Styela clava: one gene and its partners. The protein of the gene in region 4 interacts with the protein of the main gene of each other region in a biochemical or structural test. Links are inferred from orthologs where the notes say so. Each region holds a gene or a part of one and is shown on either strand. Other genes may lie near its edges. The genes, in order: Parkinson disease protein 7 homolog, ubiquitin-conjugating enzyme E2 N-like, ubiquitin-conjugating enzyme E2 Z-like and E3 ubiquitin-protein ligase parkin-like.

What was found.
Region 1: the proteins of E3 ubiquitin-protein ligase parkin-like (region 4) and Parkinson disease protein 7 homolog form a complex in vitro, tested with the Homo sapiens proteins (2 studies listed by BioGRID, with this or other methods). The link is inferred for Styela clava from reciprocal best matches to the Homo sapiens genes PRKN and PARK7.
Region 2: the proteins of E3 ubiquitin-protein ligase parkin-like (region 4) and ubiquitin-conjugating enzyme E2 N-like form a complex in vitro, tested with the Homo sapiens proteins (6 studies listed by BioGRID). The link is inferred for Styela clava from reciprocal best matches to the Homo sapiens genes PRKN and UBE2N.
Region 3: the proteins of E3 ubiquitin-protein ligase parkin-like (region 4) and ubiquitin-conjugating enzyme E2 Z-like form a complex in vitro, tested with the Homo sapiens proteins (2 studies listed by BioGRID). The link is inferred for Styela clava from reciprocal best matches to the Homo sapiens genes PRKN and UBE2Z.

The regions. Positions count from the first base shown.
Region 1 is NC_135257.1:17,241,642-17,248,082, forward strand, and holds Parkinson disease protein 7 homolog, read right to left. Parts: upstream 2,505-6,441; 5' UTR 2,391-2,504; coding exon 2,295-2,390; intron 1,993-2,294; coding exon 1,831-1,992; intron 1,568-1,830; coding exon 1,417-1,567; intron 1,152-1,416; coding exon 997-1,151; 3' UTR 509-996; downstream 1-508. Other genes in the region: peroxisomal membrane protein 11A-like, read right to left, coding at 1-46, 143-258, 346-401. UniProt on the Homo sapiens protein: Multifunctional protein with controversial molecular function which plays an important role in cell protection against oxidative stress and cell death acting as oxidative stress sensor and redox-sensitive chaperone and protease.
Region 2 is NC_135258.1:13,557,106-13,564,090, forward strand, and holds the start of ubiquitin-conjugating enzyme E2 N-like, read left to right. Parts: upstream 1-3,962; 5' UTR 3,963-4,137; coding exon 4,138-4,170; intron 4,171-4,417; coding exon 4,418-4,519; intron 4,520-5,650; coding exon 5,651-5,795; intron 5,796-6,371; coding exon 6,372-6,512; intron 6,513-6,985. UniProt on the Homo sapiens protein: The UBE2V1-UBE2N and UBE2V2-UBE2N heterodimers catalyze the synthesis of non-canonical 'Lys-63'-linked polyubiquitin chains. This type of polyubiquitination does not lead to protein degradation by the proteasome.
Region 3 is NC_135255.1:6,259,371-6,266,841, forward strand, and holds the start of ubiquitin-conjugating enzyme E2 Z-like, read right to left. Parts: upstream 3,008-7,471; 5' UTR 2,955-3,007; coding exon 2,166-2,954; 3' UTR 1-2,165. Other genes in the region: protein SPATA45 homolog, read left to right, coding at 5,485-5,592, 5,857-5,971, 6,476-6,495. UniProt on the Homo sapiens protein: Catalyzes the covalent attachment of ubiquitin to other proteins. Specific substrate for UBA6, not charged with ubiquitin by UBE1. May be involved in apoptosis regulation.
Region 4 is NC_135263.1:16,303,574-16,311,197, reverse strand, and holds E3 ubiquitin-protein ligase parkin-like, read left to right. Parts: upstream 1-4,618; 5' UTR 4,619-5,021; coding exon 5,022-6,359; 3' UTR 6,360-7,118; coding exon of another isoform or gene 7,119-7,221; 3' UTR 7,222-7,222; downstream 7,223-7,624. Other genes in the region: 40-kDa huntingtin-associated protein-like, read right to left, coding at 467-525; ATP synthase mitochondrial F1 complex assembly factor 2-like, read left to right, coding at 7,119-7,221. UniProt on the Homo sapiens protein: Functions within a multiprotein E3 ubiquitin ligase complex, catalyzing the covalent attachment of ubiquitin moieties onto substrate proteins. Substrates include SYT11 and VDAC1.

The DNA of each region.
Region 1 (6,441 bases), on a different chromosome or scaffold from region 4:
CTCTGGGCTGCTCTGAGACTGTCCACACTTTTCCCAAATCTAAATACTGAAAAAAATGTATATTTTTTTTTTATTCAGTAAATTGAGCTTTGGTAATGTGAGATCTGTGTCTGTTGCCAGAATTATTAAAATATAAACTCACATTTTCTGGACGTGCTCATTAATTTTTCCAGCTCTATGAGCATGTTGACTGCATTTTCCTTATTGCCATTTCTCAGTAGATACCATACAAGAAATTTGCTGCCATATTGCGTGACTCTATAAAACATGTTGTATTCAATTACAAGAAATCCCAATTTCTGCACATTTACCTAAAAACAGTCTTGAGAAAAAACAATCAATTACCTATATAATTTGTCTCGACCAGCCGTCTTGTTGCAAAAAGCTAGGAAGTCATCCATTTGAACTTGACCTGATTTATTTTAAAGCTATAGCTCTGGAAATGAAAAAAAGCATTTCTGTCAAAACATCCCAGAATCACATATGTAAAAGGAGTGAATTATGAGGAATACATACTATACAGAAATATATAGTATAAAATACCAGTGGACAGAGGTCGACAATGCTAGGCGCAAAACTGATTTTACTTTTCACTTTACAAGAAAACTCTGCTTGATAAAGTTATTTCACAGGGTGTTTTCACTTTGTGCATGAAATGTTTCAACATAATGGGATTTGGAATCTACCAATCAAAATTACACTATAAAGACCAATGATATGAATGATAAACAAGGGGGCCATGAGTGTTTAAAGTCGGGACGGGCAAGGGGCCACGAGCCATAGCATGTTGGGAATCACTGGTCAAGGCAACATGAAAATATAAACCCAATAAGCGCAGTTAATTGCCATGCAGTCAATGATCTTCCGTATTTTGGGCAATTGAATTGCGTAACTTAGAGACAACTATCAAAAATGAATAAATCAAGCTCAAACAGGGCAAAGATGATGTTTGATGTTATCTAACAGTGAATGATATAAATATAGTCGGTGGGCAAGTTATGGCAAAACCATCGGTCCGGAAATCTTGTCTCGGACTTCCTTTCCCTTCAACATTTCAACTAGCTCTAAAGCAAATTCAAATGATGTTCCTGGACCACGACTTGTGATCAGCTTGTTGTCCTTGACAACCCTTGCCTCAGAATAGATGTACCCTGAAATACAGTTAGAAACTATGTTAGTTTAAAAGCTATGTAACAGATGAACTAATATACAAAAATATGATTCCTCACAAATCTAGCACGCACTCTCTCAGTATAGAATATTGATCTCTGAGCAAAGTCAAGGGCGGGCAAGCACTAAAAAGCCATAAACTACTGGGACTGTAAATTATAGCGTAGAAGTGCGCGTTAACAAAATCCAATTGACACAAGAGTGGATATTGCGACGCAGATTATAAGTATTTTTATGAAGACGAACCTTCTAATTTGTCCTTTAAGGATGGATGAGATGTGATATTGCTCCCTGGTTTTATGTTATGAGATTTGAGAGCTATAGGAGCAGCACATATTGCGCCGATTAAGTTTGTATGTTGAATCTGCATCTCCAGGAGCTTCTTTACGCCATCTGACTGTACAGAAACAATTTTATGAGTCAAATGATGGTTAAAACATCTTGGGTGATCGTGGTATACTGTAGCATCTTTACCTCAAGACCCAAGAATTATTGACATATCTACTAAATTTAGTCAGCGAACAATATTTTCTAATAAATATCTATAGTAGGTAAGTCAAATATATAAGATTTTACAATATTGTCTCGATATTTTTGTATTTAAGCGATTGCCCTACATAGAATATTAAAAATTCAAAACAATTTTAAGCAACCAGCTACCTCTGCGAGTGTGGTCGCACCCTTTAAACCACCAGGCATTACAACTGCATCATACGGGGCAGCATCTATGGCTGTTTGGAGATCAACATCTGGAATTATGCAAACCCCTCGACTACACATAATTTTATCTGATGCGTCAACGCCAGCAACAGTCACTTCAATCTGCATATAAAAAATTAAGAGTATAGATGTGTATGGAATAATTATTTGTCAATACCGCTTATTGGTATTTATTTTAATGTCATTGATGAATATTATTTGGTCACAAAAAACTTTTTGTTTGTTACATCAGTAAGTTCTGTCGTTATAAATTATTTCAATTTTGCTTTAATACCGGTATAGTTTATAAAAAAGCTTAAAACTTGTTGTATATCATAATTCACTTGAATCCTAGCGTTTCTAAACTAGTGAAATAGAGCCAGGTTGTATAAAAAAAAGGAAAACAATTCTGAATTTTCACAAACCTCTGCTCGACGCATCACATCAATGGAAATAACGGCCTCCATCTCTTCTGCGCCATTCGCAAGCAAGACCAGTGCCCTTTTCAAAGAACCACTCATTATAAATTCTTTTTGTCGTTTACTCAATAAGCGAATAATCGTGAAAATAATAACCCGTAGAGCAAGAAAAAGAGCCCTCAACTAGTGCAATTGCATTGAATGAATCCAAACGAAGTCAATGCAGCAATGTTTGAGCTCCACAGCAGGAGTCGAATTTTACACTACCCGGGACTCTGTACTCATATTTGGGTTAGGACAGGAATTTTATTCGCCCAGTAGGAGGGGTAGAAAATACGATAAAATTACTTAATCATATGGTGAGCCATGGTTTTTTGTACTACAGTCCATGTAAAGTATGTAATTAGGCAGCTCATTAGTAGAATAAGATTATCTTTTTACATCGCATGGACTTGACTTCTAAATATTATTCCGAAGTCAGGAGCTCAAGTCGAACTTTTATATTACCGGTATGCCGATTCTGTATTCCAGACTTCAATCAATCAATTTTATTTCGGTCGCTCTGGTATAAAACAAAACAATAACAAACGAACAAACACAGAGGACCTGGAGGACGGGCATAACTTGAAGAAAAGTTAAAAACGTGAAAATACGCGCCCGTCCACCAAAAACAGTCAAATAACACAATAAAACAAAAATACACGATACAGAATCGGGCAATAACTTCAAATGAATAAATTTGTGAATAACAGTGACAACAATGAGTTTATTTTGAAGAGGGGTCATACAGATAAGTAAACATCGTTTTTATATGTAACAAGAAAATGAAGTGATTGTAGGAATAACACTGCAAATGGTAAAGGAAAATTGTGATTAGAATAAACAGGTCGTTTGAATGATGACTTTGTTCGAACATTAAATGACTGATGAAAATTGTTGAAAGAGGTGCTTTTGGGTGTTGATCAACTAAAAAAATAGTGCTGTGATGGTGTGGTGTTTATAATAAACTATATTAAAATCTTAGGCGAACTGGAAAGCTATTCAGTGCCTTCCAGTGGATCAATCAATCATTTATTCGTCGTCACAAAAACATCAAATGCAAAAAAAATTGGTACAATAAATAAATATAATAATAATGATATTTGTGCGACAGGAGTCGCGAGGGACCATATTAGGTCTTCAAGCAGCGACACCTAAAGCGCTGTTACTGGTTCAGTGTAAAAAAAATAACTACATTTGCTACAAACATTGACTATGCAATAGTCGTTGTGATGAACATATTTTGAATCATTGAAAAAATTCGCAGCAAACGCAACTTTACTAAAATCATGTAATAGAGAAAAAAAAAGAAAAACAACTCAACTATAAATTCATAAAAAAGGCATATTTGAATAAATGTATATAAGTTACATAAAAGACAAACGACAAGCGAGGGGAAAATGGTTAGACCAAAGACAAAATTGTAAGAGATTAATTGAATAGGAGTTGGTAAGCTCTAATAAATCATAAAACGTTGATATGTATATATATATACAATACGCTCCACAGTAAGTGGGCATAAAATTTACGAAAGAATGGTAGGCATATGCTTGCTCAATAAATTAAAATATAACGAATTTTGGCATTTTAGTGTAGAGGTTGCACCAAGTTTGGTAAAGTTAAAGTACCGGGTACTTTAGAAATAGACTCCTTACACCTATAGTTCCTCCGGCTTTTTGGGCAGCCATGGCGACGGTCTACAAATGCGACTACTGGGCTATGGACAGAAGATGGCGAATCATACTGAATACTCCAATCAATGGCTGATGGAAGAGAGATAATAACTAATATATTTACTTTTTAGATATAATTTGAAACCGTAATAGCCTAAAGATTTAATGGTACTTGGTAAGGCATTCCACAGTTTCACACCCGTGTATTTTATGGATTTCTGTGTCCTGCTTGATGAATATCTTGGGACATAATATGAACTTGACAAAGCTGATCTAGTAGAGTATGAATGGATATTACTCTGCATTCTGAAAATTCCCGCGAATGCCATGGGAAGCTTGTTATCGAAGTACTGGTGCATGAGTTTCAGTATCTCAAATTCATGGATATGACCAAGCTTAATAATTCGACACCTGTGGTACAAAGGATCTAGTCTAGATCGGAAAGGTGCACTACATATGGCTCTAATTGCTTTGTTTTGCAAAACTTCTAATCTGGGGAGTAGAGTCGATGACGCACTACCCCAAGTTATAATGCCATACTGCAGATACGACTGGAAAAGAGAAAAATAAACCAATCGGAGAGCTGGCATGGTGAGGAATTTTCTTAGTTTAAATAATAAACCTGTTGCACTTGACAACTTTCCAGCAATGTAATTAATGTGTGATGTCCATTTCAATTGGTCATCAATGTGGATACCTAGGTATTTGTATGAGTTGACATTTTCAAGTGGAACCTTGTCAATATTAATTTGAAGCCGAATTTTATTTTTTTCATTTATCCTGGGACTAATTAATAAGCATTTTGATTTTTCAATATTTATGGTGAGTTTATTTATGGTCATCCAGGTTGCAATTTTTTGCATTTCAGAATTCATCCGCAATTCCAAGTCGTTTGGCGAAGCTGAACTTCCAAACAAACCGGTATCGTCAGCGAAGAGTTTGACAAGTAATTTAGTGGCATGAGGAAGGTCATTGACAAATAGAATAAACATTATCGGTCCAATGATCGATCCTTGTGGAATTCCGCATTGTACACTAGAGAGTTTGGAGCAATTCGAACCAAATTTAACACATTGCTGACGTGAACTCAAATAGCTCCTGAAAAAAGTCAACGCGTGACCGCGAATACCATCCTTGGATCGTTGTTTAATGTTAAAGAGTCATCTGAACATAGAAGAATGAAGCACCTGAACTGGGGCCACGGTTTGAATATAATGTGAGATGGAGCCAATATGACTTCTGAATATAATTCGAAGAGTCAAGTGAAAATTATAAGTTATTGTTGACGATCACAAACTATTATTAAGTATCGAAAATTTCCTCCTCCCAATCGGCAAATCATAAAGAAAGTTGCCACTTATCCAATATGACAAAAGTGGCTTTAGAGATAACAAAATCGTATAAATTGATTCAGTAGTTTGCATATATGATGGCTCTTGAATTTTATTTACGTTTGAACACTATCTCTAGTAATATATTCAATTATACTGTAGTATTTGTCAAAATCATGCGGAACTCACCGACTATGACGGTCGTCCCGTAAATAAAAATCTTTTTAATTAGATGTTAGTAGGCTCGGCGGTGTGGCGCATCGTGCTACGCTTTAGGAATACTCTCGCCACAGCATCTCTGCTTAACCTTCGTGAGATCGCAGGTTTGAATCCCATGCGGGGATGATGTGCGAGAGATTGCTGAACTCCTCGCCGCCGTAGAGTGGTTCACGTAACCGCTGGTCGATTACGGCTCCCTCCACCATCAAGTCCAAGCTTCCGGAAACAAGTAACTGTCTAACCAGTATATATTTACGGTCTAACCGTAGTAGTCCGTAGTCGAAATAAAATCTTATGTTATCTTATCTAGTATATATTTACGGTCAATCAATCAATCAATTTTATTTCGGTCGCTCTGGTATAAAAAAAAACAATAACAAACGAACAAAGACAAAACACAGAGGACCTGGAGGACGGGCATAACTTAAGAAAAGTTAAAAACGTGAAAATACGCGCCCGTCCACCAAAAACAGTCAAATAACACAATAAAACAAAAATACATGATATAGAATCGGGCAATAACTTCAAATGAATAAATTTGTGAATAACAGTGACAACAATGAGTTTATTTTAAAGAGGGGTCATACAGATAAGTAAACATCGTTTTTATGTGTAACAAGAAAATGAAGTGATTGTAGGAATAACACTGCAAATGGTAAAGGAAAATTGTGATTAGAATAAACAGGTCGTTTGAATGATGACTTTATTCGAACATTAAATTACTGATAAAAATTGTTGAAAGAGGTGCTTTTGGGTGTTGATCAACTAAAAAAATAGTGCTGTGATGGTGTGGTGTTTATAATAAACTATGTTAAAATCTTAGGCGAACTGGAAAGCTATTCAGTGCTTTCCAGTGGATCCTTGTTTAATGTTAAAGAGTCATCTGAACAT
Region 2 (6,985 bases), on a different chromosome or scaffold from region 4:
AAAATCTGGTCAGAATCAAAATTTCAGAATCTGATTAAAATCACATTTTTTAATTTGCTTTACTACTGGATATGGTTCAGTTCTCTTTTCACTTCATCTTGCCATGCATTCAACTTCCGCTGTCCGTTTGTTATTAAAACTTCTATCAAGCACGATTGTATTCCGAGCATGCGCGACTAAGTCGTAAAAGACATATTTTCCACGTTTAACCATTGAAATAAATTAAATGTGACAATTGCAAGGCAAATAAGCAGTGAAATAAAGTCGTATTAAAAAGCATTACCATTGAACAGTGTCTGAGTCATCCGTACCCAAGATTTCTATAGTGATGAAGAGCATGATAACCACTGTGTTACGTTAATTTTACTTTCATATTCGCCTTCTCAATTGAAAGAAAATTCGAATCTGTTCGATAAATCTTTTAACTCTAGCTTCTAATTTGAAAATATGGCTTCTGCTATCCAGGGAATTAATATCGTATCCAATCCTTACAAACCTTTTGTCTGTATATTTTTGAACGTCGTCGCTATAGCGATTCAACAAACAAGTATTCTCGCTCGTTGGACGATTTCCATAGATGAGTCAGTTTTTCTCGTATTTACCTAATCATACCTTTTCTTTAACTTCCGCTCTGATTATGCCCGAACGTGCCCAGATATTTATATCGCGCATTTTTGCAATTAAATCGTAAAAAGTCATATCCGGATTCTGTCGAATAGCGTCATTTGCACAATGAAAGTTTGTTTTATTCCGGGGGTGAGGAAAGCCGATAAGACAGCTTGAACATATGGTGAACCACGGCCTCTCGTTTGGTTACCAGTTTATATCGAGTATGGGGTTAGTTAGTCAGGTATTTTTTCCAGATGCATGGACGTGATGGTGGAGGAAATGCACGATATAACGAGCCGTGAATTATTTGTGAAAAAACAAAACAATGTACATTTTTATAACAAAATGGCAAATGGGTGTATCAAAAAAAGAAATACAAGTTATGTGTAATTAATTCGCTGGTGAATAATATAGAAAATGAATTGTCAAAAAGTTGAAAGAACTAGTAAGGGAATACGCAGGGAAGCAAGTATGACGGCCATCAAACTTAACGAAAGCATCGAAACAAATACTAAACACACAGCGGGGAAAGAAAATTTCTTTCACAAACGTAAAAAAGTTGTGGAGACTAATTACTTAAGCTGGGTGTGTAATGAAAACCATGAAAATATCGATAAATGTTCACAGGGAATGAATGAATAGTTTTCTTGGAAAAGAGCAGTAATTGTTTTCAAGGAGACAAAATGTGTTCATTAGATCACAAGTCTCAGTTATCAGATTATTGTTTTTGCTGGACGTTTTCGACAACCTATGGAAAATCTGATTCTGTTTTAGAGGTCGGAGGGTATCCATCTGTTTCTGATCCATCTGTTTCCTGGTATTTTTGAGCATTTAACTGTGTCTCTTGTAGTAGTCTACACCGACATATTTTCTTATACCTATGCCTACGATAAGAGCCTCCACCCGCATTTTAATTTAAAACCATTGTTTCCAGACGGCGTGTGTATTTCTGCAATTCTGTACCCCGCAATACAAAACCACGTTGCAACCTTATCATTTCATCACTAAAATGCTTTACCAGGCATTTTTAGTTTGGCGTCGAAACAAAAGCACGTGAATTGACTTCGGTGGGTGAATATGTGTTTTCCATTTCATTGATTTGAGTTTGTCCCACCAAGTCCAGTTTAATCACGTATTGATCAATCTTCCTTCAACTTTATACAGATATAAAAACCCAAGTAGTCAGTTTTTATGTGCCCAATCAAAGAGCTAATAACGACAATAACATTTATCAAAACGATCAATATGTACACTCTGTAGTCAATAATACAAAAATGCTACGAATTGGATAATTCCTTGAAGGTATATTTCACCCAGCCGGAGTTATACAATTTACTACCAACTCTTTGACTTCCTTTTTGTGACGGAATGGTTAACTGGCGAGAAGTGACACCTTAACCAAGGTCATCATCTTTTTTTCCCTTCTGTGGCATAACTTTAAAATCCATGTTATTTTTCGCAATCTCGGTTCATGATACGCCGAACTTCAACTAGGGTATCAATATGGACTATCTCAGAGAAATATTTACCCAATATTTCAAAGCTGAGTTTATAAAAACAAATTGCCGTATGATTAGGCTTACCATATATCTGGAACAAAAAACCGGGACAGTGCGGATCGGACTAACTTTGGTTCGATTCTGAGACTAAGTAATATCTGAAACTTCTATCATATCTTTGCAAGTAGATTCCGGGCATTGAATTATCTAAATAAATTAATTCGTACGCGCAGTCGCCAAACATTACCGTATTTATAAAAGCAGCAATTATTTGAACATTTCAATAATCGACATAAGAGAGACACGGAATGATGTTGAATTCAGTTTTAAGGTAAATGAGCCGCAAATCCTTTGCCGGTCTCGTAAAAGCTCGTTTCAGTTTTATTTTTGAGTTTGAAAAAAACATTATTGTCCCTCGTCTTTCTACGCGTCCATTTGGCACTTTGATAATTTATCGACAGGTCAGTTAACATTGTGTGTCAAATTATCGCAAAATATAATACCTATGACCAGTGGCGTAGCATCCACCCCCGCGGTCGCGGGAGGGCAAACAGCGCAAAGGGGCCCAAGCGGTTAGAATTTAGAAATATAAGCCGCAAAACCAAAAGCTGCATTGCAAAACCAGGTAATCTGTTAATGCACATCTTATAACGTTTATGTTAGTTCTGCTCAAATCGTTTTGTTACGTAACAATGCCAGGGAGTCGTCGATTTTTCGCGTCTTGTGGTTTGTTCGCACCGGCAAAATTACGAAGGCTGTCAGAATGATGTCGAGAGCAAAACCTCTCAGTGGCGCACAGAAACGCAGAAGAGGGAGCACGTATGAAAAAATTAAAGTCACCAAGATAAACGGCAAATATTAGGTTACCATTGCCTTTTAATAACAACATGCTATGCTTTTTGACGAAATAAAAAAAGCGTTTTAGCTTATGTCCGAGAGTTTTTAGGGTCATTTCCACGAGAGTCTTGCTACGCCACTGCCTATGACACAAAACAGCAGTTTTCTCTCCCTCTGTTAACTAGTGAATAAGAGATAAATTGGATGCTTCCGTCAAAAAAATAACTTGTGATAATATTATAAAAATTGTTTTTGACTGCCACGCTACATAACCGGGACATTTAAGTCTACCGGACGGGACGCCGGGAAAGCTTGTCAAAACCGGGACTGTCCCGGCTAAACCGGGACGTATGGTAAGCCTACGTATGATGTATAACGTATATATACGAAGGTGGAGAAATAACTTGAGAATCAGGGTTGTGAAGCTGGAGTTTGAGATGTATTCCACGTAGTCGGAGCGAACGTCGTGTTTTCAAACACCTTCGATGCTAGAGTGGAAATTTCGTATTCGTCGTAGTTATAATTTCAGATTTTCAATGACCTGCATGCGGTTTTTGTTACCAAATTTTCTTAAATTAAAACTCAATTTCATTTTTCTCATGGAAATCGAAGTCAGAGCAAAATTTCTTTAATCCGGAGTCGGGAATCGGGGAAAATTTGCAATCGACTCCGACAGCCAGGGCGAGGGTCTCGCGAAACAACGGTGGAAACAGGATGAACATTCTAGTATGATAGCTGCAGAGTTCCGAACTTGGACTTCCTTTACTCAATAACTTAGGTTTTTTAATATACCAGTGTTGGTTTTGCATTTTGAGCCACTTATACAAATTACTGTAATACGGTACCGGTACCTATAGCTGAACAGCTGGTGTACCAGTACGGTAGCTAGATAGACTGAAACATGATACACAACATGATAGTCAGTACCAGAGTACGGTACTGTGATATCGAGGCCTTTGTTTCGTTTTTACAAATTGTGATGGCTGTGATAATTCGTAGTACAGTACCGGTAATAGCTAAATTTTAAATTCAACTTTCAGGGTATTAAACTCTATCTAGCTCATGTAAATTAGATCTTTGTCAATTTGTGTGGTTGTTTAAACTTAAAGACTTTCTCAAATACCTGAATACTCGCTATTGGTCATCGAACATTGAGTATATTGGACACCTGGGCACATATCAACAATAATACATGGCTGCCGGTATCCCCAGAAGAATTATAAAGGTAGACTATTCAACATCTTCTTTCAGTTTCAATCAAATCTTCTTCACAGTTGTTTAGAAAAATCCTGAATGAAATAAAAAAAGATTATGCATGAAAGAATGTTTTTGACATAAATATACTGTATAGTATATTGTCTTTAATATATTCTATGGATCTTAAAGTATTATTTATCCATTTATGAACAATGTAATCATGGTTGACAAGTCTAAATAATGCTTTCTAATTAGATTGCCTTGTTATTTTTCAGGAAACACAAAGATTAGTGTCAGATTCTCCACCTGGCATATGTGCCATTCCTGTTGAATCGAATGCGCGCTATTTTAAAGTAACAGTCGTAGGTCCACAAGATGTAAGTTGTAAATAATTAGGTTATATCAATCTTTTCAACTACTTGATCTTCAGCAATTTATTTGGATAATGGTTAATTAGCATAGAGTTTTCTAACTAACAATCTGATGAAACAGTGGCACGAAAAGCTATTACTCGCGATAGTATTAAAGAAATGATGTATAAGTAGTTATTCGCCTTGTATACCTAGATTCACTTTAGCACTGGGGTACACTCGGTAGTGGGATTCAAATTTTTGTCAGCCGGTTCCATCACAAAAGTCATATTTTTCAGCCGGTTCTGTTACAAAAAGTCATAATTTTTTAGCAAGTAAACTGATTATTTTAAATTACTTCCTAATTACCATTTCAAAATTTTCAATGATGTTGAGGATTGTCGATATTGCTGATTTGCTGTATATAACCGGCTCAATCCCATCACTGCTAACAGCCACACTAAAAAGCAGCAGTCGTCTCATGACTTTTACCTATGATGCAACAATTCAATTTTCAGACAAACAATCACAAAAGGAAAATTACTACAATTATAAAAGTTAACACAATGCATAACTGTTACGTGTGCGAACTTGATCATTTCACATTTTGAAAAAAAACATGAGCTACTTGATCCAGAAAATCGGTGTGTCAGATAAGATGCAAAAACCCATTGACAGTAATCAGTAATGCTAACCGGTTCTTTGATCTCATAAAATTCTGTAAGACGGTTCTATAGAAACTGTGCGAACCGGCTGAATCCCACCACTGGGTTCACTGTGGCATATCAATTAGTTATTCCAAAATATTATTACCGTTAGATACGAATATGATTGGTTGAACCCTTATATCTGTGATATATTAAAATATAATGGAAGTTTTAAACAAAAATATGATAAGCAAAATATTAGGTTGTGGAAATCCTTGACCAGAAGTCTAATTATGAATTGATCACGGCTCACTACTAAATGAATTTAATGATCAAAAACTTTTCTGGATGGAACAAGTTTTAAAAGTTGAGGAAAACAAGAACATAGTGTAGAAAAAGTATTGTTATGCCTAATTCGACGATTTCTGCTCACCATAATTTTCTCTATAAAAATAATATGTAACTTTAGTCGTATCATTTACAATTAATCATTTATTCTTTTTATTTGTAGTCACCATATGAAGGGGGTATATTCAAATTAGAATTATTTTTACCTGAGGACTATCCTATGGCACCACCAAAAGTTCGTTTTATGACAAAAATTTATCATCCAAATATTGATAAACTTGGAAGAATATGTCTAGATATTTTAAAAGGTGATGTCTTTTTTGATTCTTAAGCTTTGAATTAACCCTGAATTATTTTTATGCTTGACATAGGAGCTTGGCTCGACGGTGTGGCACATCATGCTAAGCGTCAGGAATACTCACACCAACGCACCTCTGATTATCCTGCATGGGTTCGCAGGTTCAAATTCCAGGCAGGGAGAGTTATGTGCGAGAGGATTGCTGGACTCCTCGCCGCCGTCTGGTGGTTCGCGTAACCGCTAGTCATATACGGCTTCCTCTACCTATAAGTCCATGCTTCTAAAAAAATAAAAATAAATGGCCAACTAATCCCATACTCGACATGGACTGGTAACCGGGGCGAGAGGCTTTGTGGTTCGCCATATGATTAAGCTGTCTTATCGGCTTTCTTCTCCCCCAGGATAAATCCTACAAGTTTAGTCCCCAATGAAATTACACTGCAATGCCACTGACAATGTAAATTTTTCTGTTAATTTAAGATATCCATGCCTGGCAAGTCAGGATGTTACAATCTTGAATCAAAGTTGAAATATTATGAAAAATAAAACAGAATGTCCAAATTAACATTTTGAATCCATTTTTTAGATAAGTGGAGCCCAGCACTACAGATAAGAACGGTTTTGCTTTCAATACAAGCTTTATTAAGTGCACCTAATCCAGATGATCCTCTAGCTAATGATGTTGCAGAGGCTTGGAAACTAGATGAAAATTCGGCAATTAAAAAAGGTTTGTGTTTTTTTTAGTTATTCTTGTGCAGATATATAATTTATTTGGTGCTCCATAAGTATGTGTACCAATATGGAGGTAAAAATTTTGTTTGCCTACTTGTGTAAAGAGACTGAAGCCTATGGGCAGGGGGTATATAGTCTCCGAACTCGTAATTGAACTAAAAATAGGGAAATTCGAAATAAAATTATAGCCTAACCCGGTACACATACTACAGGGGTACCCTTTATTTTGTATATACATGTCATTTTTCACTTTTGGGCCACAGATACCTTCCAAGAAACATTTTTAAGTGGGCCACAAATCCATTAAAAGTTATTGATAGTTCAGTTAAACTTTGATTGTAGTAGCAATGAATGATGATGCTGTTTTTCAATTATTAAAGTGGAAATGTTTATATTCACGGAAAGCATTCTTTGTAGTTTTTCCATATACGGTACATGAGTTAGTTGATGGGCCATAGAACTTTTACG
Region 3 (7,471 bases), on a different chromosome or scaffold from region 4:
ATTTTAACTAAATTTTATATATAAATTCTGAATTACTTATCTAAATTCAATTTGCTGATTCACATTATGCTCAAAGTTTATTTCCAAGCACTCTTGCCTATAAAAAAATGCGGCAATATTAATTCATATCATGAAATGATGATTTGTAATTTTTTTGTAACTGTGAATTATGTCAAAGAATTTTCCAGAAGACAGATATATTTGATATTCCGTATACATAATGTGAAGAAATTCCATGAAAAAGAAAAAACAATAAAAAATAACTAATAAATATATTAAGATAAGATATTCATTTCTTAATATTCTTGTTCATATAAAGATGGGATTTACATATTTATCACGGGGGAAAGGAAAGCCGAAAAGATGTCTTAATCATATGGTGAACCACGGCCTCACGTCCGGTTACCAGTCCAGGTCGGGTCTGGGATTAGTTAGCCAGTTATGTTTTTGGAAGCACGGACTTGATTATTAGATACAGCCTAACCAGTTTTTAGTGGAATATGGAATAATACATAATATGTGCCACTATTATTAACCATACAAATATTATTTCGTTTGTATAATTTGACAATATAGTAATTTCTGCATATTTATTTGAAACAATTGGGTAAGGATTAACAAATGTCAAAATACACGATACTCCATTATAGTCGATTTGAAAAAAAAATTGTGTCTTAGAATAATCATTCTAATTATTGTAGCTCTGCGAATTCAGAATATAAAAATACAACGTTTATTCATGATATGCACTTTATATGCTGGAGTTAAGAATATCTAAATCAGGAGCATGCAACTGTTTATCGCAATGGGCCGTGCTGGATTAACCATTAGACAAAATAAGCATGTGCTTAGGGCACCAACGAAAGAGGGCACTACTAAAAATTCCATTGCGGAATTTGCAATGGTGCCCCAGTGATCTATGAAATAATTTGAGTTGGTCTGACAACTCAGACCTCAATATTGACCCCAGGGCCAGGTCATGCCTTTTAAAGGCCCTGGCAATGGGTCAAACCCTAAAATGATGGCACACTGTGAAACAAACCATACCTTTTAATCAAAACATGACACCAATAAAGCAAATCACCTTATCGAATCCTTGAACAAACAAAATTTAATTCAAGTCTAACACAACACAAATACAAAAATGCTGACAGTGCCGTTACAATAAAAAATAATATTCAAAAGACTATACCAGGGCCCAAAGGCTGTATGTTGCATGCCTCTGATCTGATTAGCTAGTTGTTTCTTCCTTACTAGTTTACAAATTTCATTGATGTATTATTTCATAGCTAAATCAAAATTCATTCACATGGACTGACAGATAACATTGCTAAACAATAGTTGCGTTTTTTAATATTGTTTATATTTTTTTTGAATTCCTCAAATCTCACAATCAATCCCTAGTTAAAGATTAATAGTTAGATAATATTACAAATAAGCAAGAACTTAATATGCTGACAATGAAATAATATGGTAAAAAAAGTTTTCATCAAAAAGTTAGCAATCAGTTTTAAACAGAACAAAAAGAACATTAAGTATGGGTTGAGAAATAAAATCTGGTACATATGCGAGTTGGCCACATTGAGACAAACTACGGCATCTTGTAAGGCGGCCAGTCTGTAGTGACAATGCATTAGAACAGTGGTCCGCAAACTGCGGCTTGCGGGCCCGATACGGCATGCAATCCAAATTTTTGTGGCTCTCGAATGACTATACTTTTAATTGATGAGAAAACAAAAAAGTTTAGCAAATTTACACAAATTTATTTTAGCTGCGCATAGATATATTCCATAATAATGGCTTTTGGATGTTATTTTTATTTTTTGAAGTAATCAGCCGAACGTGTGTACCGATAGTTGTAATAAGCATAGAAATAGGAGTTAGAGGTTCGTCATACATTGAAGTTTAATGTAGCGAGAGTTTTAAAAATAAAACCTAAACTCAAAGGCGACTGAAATCATGTCAGTTTATGCACGGCATTCATATTGAAGATTGCAAAAGTAACAATAAACTAACATAAAAGATATATTATACTATATTAAGATATACTCATAAACAATACAAAAATAAACATTATTATATCATTGACATTGATTTGGAACTATTCCATCTATTAAGCTTAAAAGTACGGTGAATATAGAGTAAAAATTAATTGAATTTTGAAGTTAATGAGACGGACCTGGCTCATCAGTTTCCATTGGAACTACATATGGACTATTAGAAAGTGTTTGTTTTATTGACTCAAGTCTGGCAAGTAATTCCCCAAATCGGAAATGTCCTGTATTTTGATTAAATGGGTCTTGCATTGTTCTCCCATCCATTTTCATCAAATTCTTACAAGTGCTAACATAATAATCATAATATTCCATAAAAGATGACTGCACAACTTTTTTAACTTCAGTGTCCAATGAATTGTTAATCGCCATATCACAAACAGCAACTCTTATTGTTTCATGTCTAATGCAATCATTGTATCGCATCGAGTCACCAGCTACTCGTTCACTTGCAAATCCCGGTTCATTATGATACGGTGACTCGTTCATCACAGATTGTATTGAAATAAGGACAGATGATAAAGATTGGGCGGGACTCCAACCAGGCCCAGACCAAGTTCCAAGTATGCTCAAACACACTTTGCCATTTTTGTAGAAATTTGGGTTGAAACGTACCATTCCAAGACCAGTTGTTAGCAATTTTACTCTGGGGGGCTTTAATGGGTAATTAGGAGGACAGCGTATGTAAAATAAGAAAAATCCCCCTTCGTAAGGAGTGTCAAAAGGTCCAGTTACTATGGCCTGTAATCGTGTTATATCATCTGGATTAGGTAAGATGACAACGCCTGGTGGAGGCGCTCTGTATATTTCCAAAATATCTTTCTTCAGTCGGACTATGGTGGTGTGAGATGGAGCTTCATTTCCCCAGTCATGAGATTGCAGAGGATCCCAGTATGACATAATACACAAAAAATATCTACTATACTGAATAACACCTGAAAAATATAGTGAAAAACAAGAGCTGCTGAGTCAAAGTTCGGATACAGTTTGGTGTGTTTTTATTAATTTTGGAGTCAAAGTCAGAGACATAATTTTAAACTCCTCAAAGTCAAATTTCAGACAGATTCCAAGTACATTAAAACATCATAAATAACAGTCGGTGCAAACCCCTCTTTTACTTGACGGTCTGAGCCTCTGTATCGACTCAAACGGCAAATTTGCACAGTTCAAAAAAACTAAAAAATCTAAATCTAAAAAAAAATCTAAAAACTTCACCATTAGATTTCTCGGAAAAAATAATCCAATTTACCAAAGAAAAAAATTATATCGTAGTATTTGAGAGTTTTTAGCAAAAAAAAACGCAATTTGGTCAAGTGACGGCAGACGCACGTCACTATTGATTTAAATTATTAAAAAGCCAATCTTGGTGGATCTTTCAAATCTGCCGTCATGACAGACGTCCTCGTAGAGTGTTCGTTTTATTGAACCAAATGTTGGGACATTTTGGAATCGGAGAACTAATGAAAATACTGCCCTACTGAAAATAGGACTGTCCTAACTTAAAATGGAATTACACTGTCCCAACTCAAAACGAAATTACTAACACCAAATGGCCAAACTAGGAAGTTGTTCTGTCAGATCATGTATAGCGGACAATGGACAATTCAAATAGCCTATGTGTGGATCAAAATATTTGCTATGTTCTGAAATAGTTAGATAGTAATAATACAATATGAACTACAGACTGACAGACAGACAGAGGACCAAAAGAACTACTTCGTCTTTAAGCGACAATTACATATAAACGACTAGTCTAAACAATTGCAAAAGTTAAAATATATGATAGCCTATTTCAGTATTCAGGTATTTGTTCCTGTGTTGATTCAATTCAGCGATTGCAATGATTACAGGACTAAATTACTGTACCGTACCGTAGTTATTTTTTGTTTCAAATCATATAATTATCTGGCTGTGCTTACATGTTCCACTTACAGGTTGACGTTTGTTCACTAATTTATGAACGTATCTGAGTATACCCTGCCACAACCACCAGTCAGTATGCTATACGTACAGAGTGTAAGCAATAACTTAATATGCTGACAATAAGGTAATATAGTACTGTAGTAAAAAAAGTGCTAACAAGTTTTATCAAAGAGTTAACAATCAGTTTTAAACACAACAAAAAGAACAGCAAGTATGGGATAAGAAAGAAAATCTGGTACCTATGCGAGTTCGCCATATTGCAGTATTGAGACAAACTACAGCATCATCAACTACGGCTTCATTTGTATATTAATTCTGGTGATCTCTCATAAATCCTAATTAGATACCGACAAGTGGTTCAAATTTTCATCAACCAAAGACGGAAGAAATTGTCAGAAGTTTATTACATTCAATTATCTATTTCATATTTGCTGTTTTTGTTAAATCGCCTTCAAAGTACTGCCCGATTGTGGATCGCGTTTTTCTATGATTGTTTTATTTTTTGATGGGCGGGCACGTACGCTTTTTAAATTTATTTTGAGTTATGCATGTTTCCCAGGTTTCTCTGCATTTTGTTTTATCCGTTTACTTTTTGTATTGTTCATGTTAGAGAACCAAAATGAATGATTGACAGAGGCATGAATAGGGCCAAGTTCGATAATACCGGTACTCAGCCAATTGATCAAGCGTGGAATTTGTTTGAAACTTTATTTACAGAATTATCCTCTAAATTCTTATAGATGTATACCGGCCAAATGTATACCGGTATACATATTTCTGCAGTATTGCTGGTATTGGGTGTTAATGTTACGGTACTGCAGCACTGCATTACGTATGGTACGGTACCGTACTGCAGTACCACTGTGTTAGATAACTCACATGACTGCATGGTCGCGGATTTTTTTACCATGCCTGAGTATTTTTTTTTTTTCTTTTATGATTCCACAATGTGGATTATGCAATAAATAAAAATCATATTTTAATAAATGAATAACAATAATCAGGTTTACATAAATAACAAATGCCTGAGTATTGTTAGGGGTATCTTTATGATATCATGGGCTGGTGATCTGACGAGAGGTCATGGTTCGCCTTATGACAGTATGATTAAACCATCTTATCACTTTCCTCTCCCCCGATATAAATATGCAGCCAAAAAATCCTATCCTATCACACAAAAAATTATTATTTAAGCATTACTGTATTAACACAACGATGAAAATAGTCAAGAAAATACCGCACTTGATATCTTACCGCGTATACCTGTATACCGACATCAGCCCCGCGTATCGACGCATCCTTCTATTTCGTTGTCTCCATTTTATTTTACCTCATACACGTGGGGTATGCTCAAAATAGTTCCACCTCGAGATGGCGCATCAGGGTGCTGCCTAGCAACAGACGCTTGTACGAAGGGGTACTCGGTACGCGTCGTGTAGGGTCGTAAAGTTTTATAAGCCTGGTCAATTTGATTTACATTTAAAATAGAACACACTTCAACTTCAAGATGAATCAAGAAATGCTATATCAATTGGGAAATTCCCGTGAATCGTGGTGTGCAGTGGAACTTAACAAATCACAAGACTGGTGTAGATCTGAGAGAAGACATTCAAAAGTAAGGAAGGATGCCCTAATATCGATACTGAAGTCCTATTTGCAAAGCAAAGCTTCAACGAAAAAGATAATTTTTTATTTGTCATTGGCTAGCAATCAGTATGTGGTGACGGGACTTCAACGTACCCCAAACTTTATTTAGGCATGTCAGACTGAGTTGAAAGTCATTATCAGTATAAAGTACTATATAACTTAAATGTTTGTAATATTTTGTTGTGTGTTGAACACCAAATGCCAGATAATATAATATTTTAACCAATTGCAGGAAAATTTTGTCAGCACCGTCTTCAATCCGACAGTAAACACCGATTCAGAACCAAGATGTCAGTGGAAAATTGATGCTCCTACCCATAGAGAAAAACGCCATTTCTCCTTCGCCAGTAAGTTAGAGCCTCGACTTATACTTTGCTCATTAAATTAGAATATAGTAAAGATGACTGCATGCAATAGGGTTTTCACGGAATTACTCAAAAAATATTGATGATTCAATTTGAATCTAAATTTTGGGTGTAACTCCTAATAAATGTTCTATTCCAATTTAATGGCTATGCGTTAAAATAAGTCAACAGTTGTCGCCTGTAATCCTCGTGTGTCTCGATTATATTTGAAAATTACACTTTTTGTTCGAATATATTCAATACAAAACATATTAGCAAAACATTTAGTTTCTTTAATGTAGCTACAGTTTTATTTTATCTATTCTATGTATGAAAAATGATAAATAGTATATATATTCAATTTAAATATAAAAAAAATACGTTGTAGACCAAATTAAGAACAATCTTTAAATTGAAAAAATGGCGCTAAATAGCGCGACTCAATTAGCGCTACAGACATAATTTATGACTCTTTTCAAATAAAATAATTCATTTATCTTTTTGTAGATGCTAATCAGCTGAAGTGAAGATTCCCATTGCATGCGTATATTAGCTGTCGTATACATCGACTCGAATCATTTCTATAGTTTTTGCTGTTATTTACCTATTGGTGTTTGAGAATAATTTGCCATATCTTGCTATAATGATTATAGTTTAGCTTTTAGTTCGCCATCTATAAATTGTTGTATATTAGTTTACCTAAATGTGTTGCTTCGATAGCCTATTTATTTTCGTGCCATATTTTAAATTATAATTTTATACTGCTAATATGCTCTGTGCATTTCACTAATAGAGAATATTAAGTTAAGTGTTTCTGTTGATATGATTGCTCTCTGTAAAACGAGCATTGATTTTATAGCAGAAATCAAAAGAGTTTGCCAATTAGAAATAAACTCTTTCCCGACACCTATACGCAGCACTATTGGGCCCATGGCCAGTGGCGTGCCTAGAGTAAAGATGCTAAGTATGACTACTTACACGTATTCGATTCTTATCCGATTCCTAAATTTTTGATTCCGATTCTCGATTCCTCGACATATCTTGCCGAGAAAACATACCCACTTAACCGCTTGAACCCGGCAAGCCGGTTTACCGGCTTGTTTGAGTACGCTCTGTGCCCCGGCAAGCCGGTTTACCGGCTTGTTTTTCGTGTCGGAAGGAATCAACTTTATGATCTCGTATCTCAAGAACCACAATGAGTATTTAAATAAATTTTAGATTGCATGAAAGCTTGTTATTGGGACTAATTATATTGTAAATATCGGTGCTCTAATATACGATGTTTCAGTAAAATTAGCAATTTGAAAGTGCGTATGAAATTATTGTATGATAACAAATATTTAATATAAAGAATTTCGACTTTTTGCCTAAATAGCCACATATTCAATCGGCAATATATGTGGAGAATTTGAATAGCTTTTTATATACGTATCCAAAACGATTTTACGATGAGCCATTCAAATTTTATGGCCAAATATATTAGATTATCTGTAGATTTAACAG
Region 4 (7,624 bases):
ACAAATGTTCACACAAATGTTTTGTCTGCCAAAGTCAGAATTTCTCGGACAAGCATTTTATAATGAAAAAGTAATTGATAGCTGATTTTGCCAGTTAATATAATATTTATTATATTAGTATAAAAATGCATATCATCAAATGACTTAGTAATATTAGTACAATATGCTGTTATAATTTAGAAATAAAAGTAGATTGACAAATGACAACCAATATTTTGCCAGTTAATATAATATTTATTATATCAGTAGGCCTATAAAAAATGCATATCATCAAATGACTTAGTAATATTAGTACAATATGCTGTTATAATTTAGAAATAAAAGTAGATTGACAAATGACAACCAATATCTGAATATGGTATTGTTATTTTGTTTACATTTCAGTCATACCTGCTGGCAAAAGTACGGTAATACCATATTGGGGCCTACTTTTATATCTAAATTATAAAGTGGGTGAAAATCCTACTTCTTTAATTTGCTTGCTGCGGCTCTGTGAAAATTGAAAAAATCCACCTCCTCTCCCATTTTTCACACTTCAATGCAATGACTTATTACGATACGGTATCCTTGCACAATGTAAGCTTTGAAATTACGGTATATAATATACAGATAGTCTATATATGTTAAGATACAAAAGGATAGGATAGTATTTACATATTTATCCCGGGGGAGAGGAAAGCCGATAAGACGGCTTATCCATATGGCGAACCACGGCCTCTCGTCCGGTTATCATTCCAAGTCGGGTATGGGATTAGATTTACTGTATTGTTTGTTTTCGGAAGCATGGACTTGGTGGTGGAGGAAGCCGAGCTGAGTAATATAGGCCTAGTAATTCTAAACTGTCACAAAACAGCATTACTGAAATGGTGTGATACCGGTATGGTACAAATAAAAATATTCTTTTTCACTTGTGATGTATCTATTCTGATTTCTGCATAAACATCGAAGTTGAGAGAAAAGTTGTTTCCCTGACCCTTGACCCCAAAAAAATTCTCCCAGATTTTGCTATTGCAAAATTTTGGATGCCTATTTCGCGAGTGTTTTGGAAAAGCAGGCAAAGGAATGTTGATATCGCCGTGTTAAACAATAGCAAGACACTGCATCTCACCAATTCAGGTATAAGTACAAGAATTCCTGGGTCAATCCATAACAACAGAAATCGTTTTCTTGGCACTGTTTTTCTAAAACGTTTCAACGTCAAATCTGATTAGGGTTGGTGCACCATGATATTTCATTCACATACACCCGCCCTGCGCTCGAGTTGTTGATAAATCCTTGAGTGGACTCTCATTTTTACGGGTTAGTGCAACATCAAATTGATGTTTACAACTGACAATGTATTACAATTGCGTCGCTCGATCATGTTTGGTCAACTGATTGAACAATGTCAGAAAATACGATACTGCCCTGGTGGGCAGGCACTTGAGATACTTCTCATGTTTTAAACTTTTTTATGGGTTTTGCTTGCCCTCCAGAATTCTCCATTTTCAATTTATGTTTGTTATGGAGTTTCCGAAATAAACTATCTATCTATAATGCGAAAGGCTTGTTGTCACAGTCACGACGATCATGAGAATGAGAAATGAGAATATTCTTGTCTGATAGCTGTGCCTATCCAATTTCAAGTTTTCCACGTCCTAAGATACCTCCACAAAAGGCATAATAGTTGTCTACATACCAGCTGCTGCTTGTTTAGAGCCTTGTTCAGATTTCTCAGAAAAAAAAAGGCGAGACATATAGAACGAAAATGGTTTATAAAAATGGATGGAGGAGTCGTTAATATTGTACCATCCAATGCGCCATTCCTAATGCGACGTTGCATTGTACCCATTGCGCTTTCATTGTTAATAATACACCATTCCTAATGCAATAACGCGTTCTTCTCAATGCGCTTTTCCTAATAGCAGAAAAGTACTTCAATATTCTATGAAACGTGAATTGATTTTATTACCAAATATATCAGCAATGAAATTATACGTTCCATTCTTAAAGTTTGCATGATGTCACAGCACAACCAAGTGACAAAAACTTTTTTGCTGCTTTGCTGCGGGGAAGTTGTGAAGCTCTTTATCAGAAGATGGAACCGTTCTTATACAATAGCTGTATTCAATCCAGTCTTTTCAAATTACATAGTGGATATGGGTACCTGCTTGTTCAGAGTCTTATTCAAAGGGAATGTGTGAAATACCCCATTAAAAAAGTGGTGCTCCATATATATATATATATGGTGATTTAAATAACCAAACATTTATTGAAGTTTCACAAGAAAAAAAAAATCAAAGCACAGATGCACACCATTAGTTTCACCAGAACCATTTGGTTTTACTCCAAGCCTATTCGGGACCTAGGTGAAGTCGAATCACTGACTGCTTCATTCCCATATCGATAGTGTGGTACTGAGGTAGATATCAAAATATATTAGTCATCAAGGGTGTGATAATGGATTTTTTTTCATTCATAAACATTAGGTTCAGACAAGGATACGGTAATTTGAGTTGTTGGACACGTAGTGGACATAACGATCGTTTCAATATTATGTTGGTCTTGTTGTTGTTGTTGTTCTTTGACACTTTTTGGACATCTAGTGGAAAATCTAAAAAACCGCTTTTCTCTTCCATTACTGGACCGATTGCTTCGAATTTTTTACTGGTTAAAGATGAAATTTTTCTCCAGAAGGCTATTACTTTTAGTTATTTCAAATATTTCTTTTAGCTCTGTGAGATTTGTTTTTGTTTGCTATGACGTCACCGAACGTTCTGCGGACGGTACTGTACCGTACAGTATTGCAATAATGTTGGTTTTCTTTTCTGCGGGGACGTTACCGTACCGCCTTAGCGAAAGTTGGAAGTCCTACTGTACTGCTTCGCTTGGTGTGAATATATTTGCAGACTGTGATCTGACGGTACGGTAAACCGTACTGTACTGCGAACAGACGTGTCCATATATTTGGGCGTAGCTCTCTTGTTTTTTCATAGGATCACTTCGAATTTAACATGGAAGATTTGTCAGAATATTTGTGATTTTTTTTCATATTGATTTCATTTGATCATTGTTAAGCAGCCTGAAACACAACAACAATCTACGAGCAGATGTTTCAAAGATTGCTTATAAGGGAACATGGTGAACTATTGTTCACTTTAGAGACTAATGGATTTTTTCAAATTAATTTTAGAAGGTACTGGTTTTTTGATACTTTTTATTTTAGGTGGTGCGAACATGTTGGGAGCTGACTCTGATGACCGTATGGTCGTATCGCTCCCTCCAGCCCATACCGAAGAAACGTTATTCGTAGTGCTTTATATTTATTATTATTATCAATGTATTTATGTTTTTTCTGGTTGACAAATAATGGAGCTCTCTCCCTCTATTCGAAGAAAAAAGCGAATATATAATAGTGATAATGACGAAAAACGAGAACAACAATATAATATTCAAACGATCGTTATGTCCACTAACGTGTCCAACAAGAACAACAACATAATATTGAAACGATCGTTACGTCCACTAACGTGTCCAATTACCAAAAATATGAGAACGATCCAAAGGTCCACTCAAAGTGACTATAAACGGCTGGGGGATTCCCCACGTCAACTGAAAGTAGTTTGGGGGATTTTAAAAGTGACCTAGCCACCCACGCGGTATAAGAAGTGCTGCATGGTGCGCAAAGATAAAGAAAGCCAGGTACAGTACACCAAGTAAAGTTAAGTTGACACTGTACATTTATATAATAAAGATATTTGGCTATACCGGTAGGCGGTAACGTACCGTACCGGTACCAAAGCTCACAGGGTCTCGTGTAGTTTCGTACCTAATGTACGGTACGGTACTTCTAGTAGGCGTAGCATAACAATTTTTCGACATGCCAATCCTAACCTTCACCTGACTACGCCATTCAAAAATTGCGTCACAACACGTCATATCATAGCTTGCCAAATTCTCGTACGATCGCCCGAAATGGCATCGGCGCCGACGATAAAGAACTGACTAACGTCAGCGATCTCTCTCCTATCGGGATCGTTGCGACGAGAAAACGAGAGAAATGGCTTTTCGATTTCGGGTTCTCGTCTGCGCGTCTTGGATGACAGTTTGCATAGTTTGAAGGGCTCTATTACGTCACTGCAGCACTGTGGCGCCGTAGTGATGTAATTTTTGGATGGTGTGGTCAGGTGGGGGTTAGGATTGAGCTTGCCAAATATACGTACGATCACCCGAAATGGCATTGGCGCCGACGATAAAGAACTGACTGACAGTATCGATCTCTCTCCTATTGGAATCGTTGCGACGGGAAAACGAGAGAAATAACTGTTTGATTTCGGGTGCTCGTTTGCACGTCTTGGATGCCGGATGGCAGTTCGTATAGTTTGAAGGGCTCTATTACGTCACTGTGACTTCGTGTTGATGTAATTTTTGGATGGTGTAGTCAGGTGGGGGTTAGGATTGATACATGAAAAAATTGTCATGCTACGCCCACTAGAAGTATATTAGGTACGAAACTACATGAGACCCAACCATTGGATTGGAATTTTAACGAAAATAAAGAAGGAAATCAATGCTCGGGAAATAATTTATTTTGTAAAGTTTACCAAATTATACCATACAGCCATATTAATACAGTAATAAATGGGACTGAACCTGAACAGTGAAGAATAGTCTAGATTAATATTAATTAAAATATGATTTATTGTTGGAATTTGGTTGGAGTGAAATGCAAACACCTCAACCAAATAAGAAAGAGAGGGGTTGGTTAGGTGGATATTCTACCCTGTTTCGTTAATTTAGGGTCGGTTTCGATAATTAGGAACCATATATCAGTACGGTACCGATCTTAGCTATGAAATTTTAAATGTGATCACATGACCAATTTTTACAGTGTTTTATCCTTCATTGATATTTTAATTATGTCATTTATTGTTTCTGTATCTTACAAATATGAAATATCTAGTTACCTAATAACTGCAGAACTGTATTATTAGGCTTAAGATTTATCCGAAATTTCGAGACTACCTTACCGAAACAGTGCAATGTGCACTACCAATGCATTGGATATTAGGTTCATGTTGCACAAAGACAAGACTTCTAGACTAATGAAATTGCCTTTGAATATAAAAGTGTGTGATGTCAAATCTATGCTTTGTAAAGACTCTAATATCCCTTTCGAAGAGTGTGAAATTATTTTCTGTGGAAAGGCAATGCAAAATGATAAAACACTGAATGAATATACCCTTAGTTCTCAGACGACTCTGCATGTTGTCTCTTACCCTCGTATAAAAGATGAAGAATTGATATCAAGACAACAATATTATGTGGGTCGAAATTCATATTTGACAGGAATATGGCCACATCGTCAACATACTCATTTTCCTTTCATCAAGTTACAGAATTACCTGAATGAAGAAAAATTATGTTCAAAACATCCTCAATTTTATGTTTATTGCAAGCATACTTGCTTTAAAGTTACACCTGGGAAGCTGCGTGTTCAGTGTGCCAATTGTAAAGAGGACAGTATTATTCTACAATGTGAGCCTGAGCAATGGAGTGATGTCCTTCAGGCGGGAAAAATATTTGGCCAATGCTATTCTGAGGAATGTGGAGGTGATGTTTGTGATGCAGAATTCTACTTCAAATGCTCGGTTTGTCGGAGTCCGGCACCTTCTGAAACTGCTGTATCCTTACCAAATGTTATCAGCAACATTCAAGATGTTCTCTGTCTTACCTGCCTTGATTCATGTAATCCGGTCGTGACGTTTCCTTGTAGCCCTGAACATGTTATGTGTTTGCCATGTTTTGAAGAATATTCTCGAACAAAACTTCGTGATAGACAAATGATAGTTTGTGAAAATATAGGGTATTCTGTTACCTGCCCGATGGGGTGTGAAGGTTCATTTATGTGTGATACACACCTTTTTCACATACTTGGGGCTGATGAATACCAAATGTATCAAGCTTTTTCTGCGGAAGAATGCTTAATTCGTAAAATGAAGGGAATGATTTGCCCCAATCCTAAATGTGGAACTGGCTTGTTTCCAGATATACCTGCCATCTTTGAGAACAACACAAAAATTACCTGCTCAAATTGTGGGCATATGTTTTGTTCAAATTGTCGTGAATCATATCATGGAACCTCAGACTGTGAATCCCAGTTTCCTCTGTTGGCTGGAAGTAGTGTTATGGTAAGAGACTATTTCGAAAGCATAAAAACCATCAGGGAAATTTCGAAAAACTGTCCTAATTGCAAAGTTCCAACAGAAAGAAGTGGTGGTTGTATGCATATGACTTGTAAAATGTGTTTGTATGAATGGTGTTGGAATTGCCTTACACGATGGAATTATAATTGCCAAGCAGATCACTGGTTTAACTGATTTTCTATAAGTTGAGAATATATTGTCTTACTATGCTGGGCATTAGAAACAGTTTTGCTATCGCACTGTTGGATATTATTAAAAAGAAAAACATTTGTCATAGCTTTTCTGTTCTGTATTCATGAATTGAGTTCTGTAAAAGCTTCATAGCTTTTCTGTTCTGTATTCATGAATTGAAAAATCCGATATTGTGAAGAGAAGGACAGAGATACAAAATCAACTTAGCTACTGCTCTAATTGCAGTCTAAAATCATAATCTCATTAATAGAAAATGTTACAAATAGGGTCATTTTTAAGAAAGAACACATACAAGGCAATGTCCTTTCAATGAGTTTGAATTCAGAAATAAAGATATAGCATATGATTTGATGACTTAATTTAAAACAGTTTGCAAAAAATTCAGACCGTTTTGGTAATAATGTGATTTAAGAATTGGGAATCTATTTTTTATTCCAAGCTCGTCATCCCCCCTGCCAAGATATAGAATCCTATTTTATTCCAATATTTTCATATTCATCTCATCACTGTGAAATGGCCAAGCGTTTGGTATTTGTTTAATAATAAGTTTCACTACTGCCTGTGGCATTTGTATTATATAAACTAATTTCTGGTTTTAACTAGAAATTTAAATGTGCCTTTGCTATCCTATTAATGAATATATATGAATGTTGCTAATTTAGTGATTTGAATTGTGTTCTTTCTTTGTTCGTAATATATTGCTATTTTGTCAAATCATGCAAATACTTCAATAGTCAGGTAATGGCTGCGTTGTTCCGGAATTTGTTAACCGCGCCATTTACGTGTTCTACGACAGTCCACTGTAATGTTTTAAGCATTCTGCGGCGACACACTAGTGTTTCTGGTGAGTTAAGGTTTTTTTGTTTGCAGCAATACAGTCACATAAAAGCAGCTTGGTGTATGTAGTAGTTCTTGATGCTCTGTAATGGAGGATACTTCACTTCACATGTTGAAATTTATCTCAGACTTTATTTTATGTGGTAATTATTTTATTTCACATATACAAAGCAAGTGCATAATGAATAAACTTAAAATAAATCTCATCATAACACTGTTGAACAATGAAAACTGAGCAAATCCAAGTTCTGAACTTGGCTCGAGTTACAAAATTAGTTCATTGCTCTCACCAGCACCAACCATAAAAAGTTTATCCTGTTAATAAAGACAGCTCACCTAGTTCTCTATATATCAATGGGGAATCTATTCAAATTCATGAATGTGATTTCTCTGACTCATTTTGATCTATA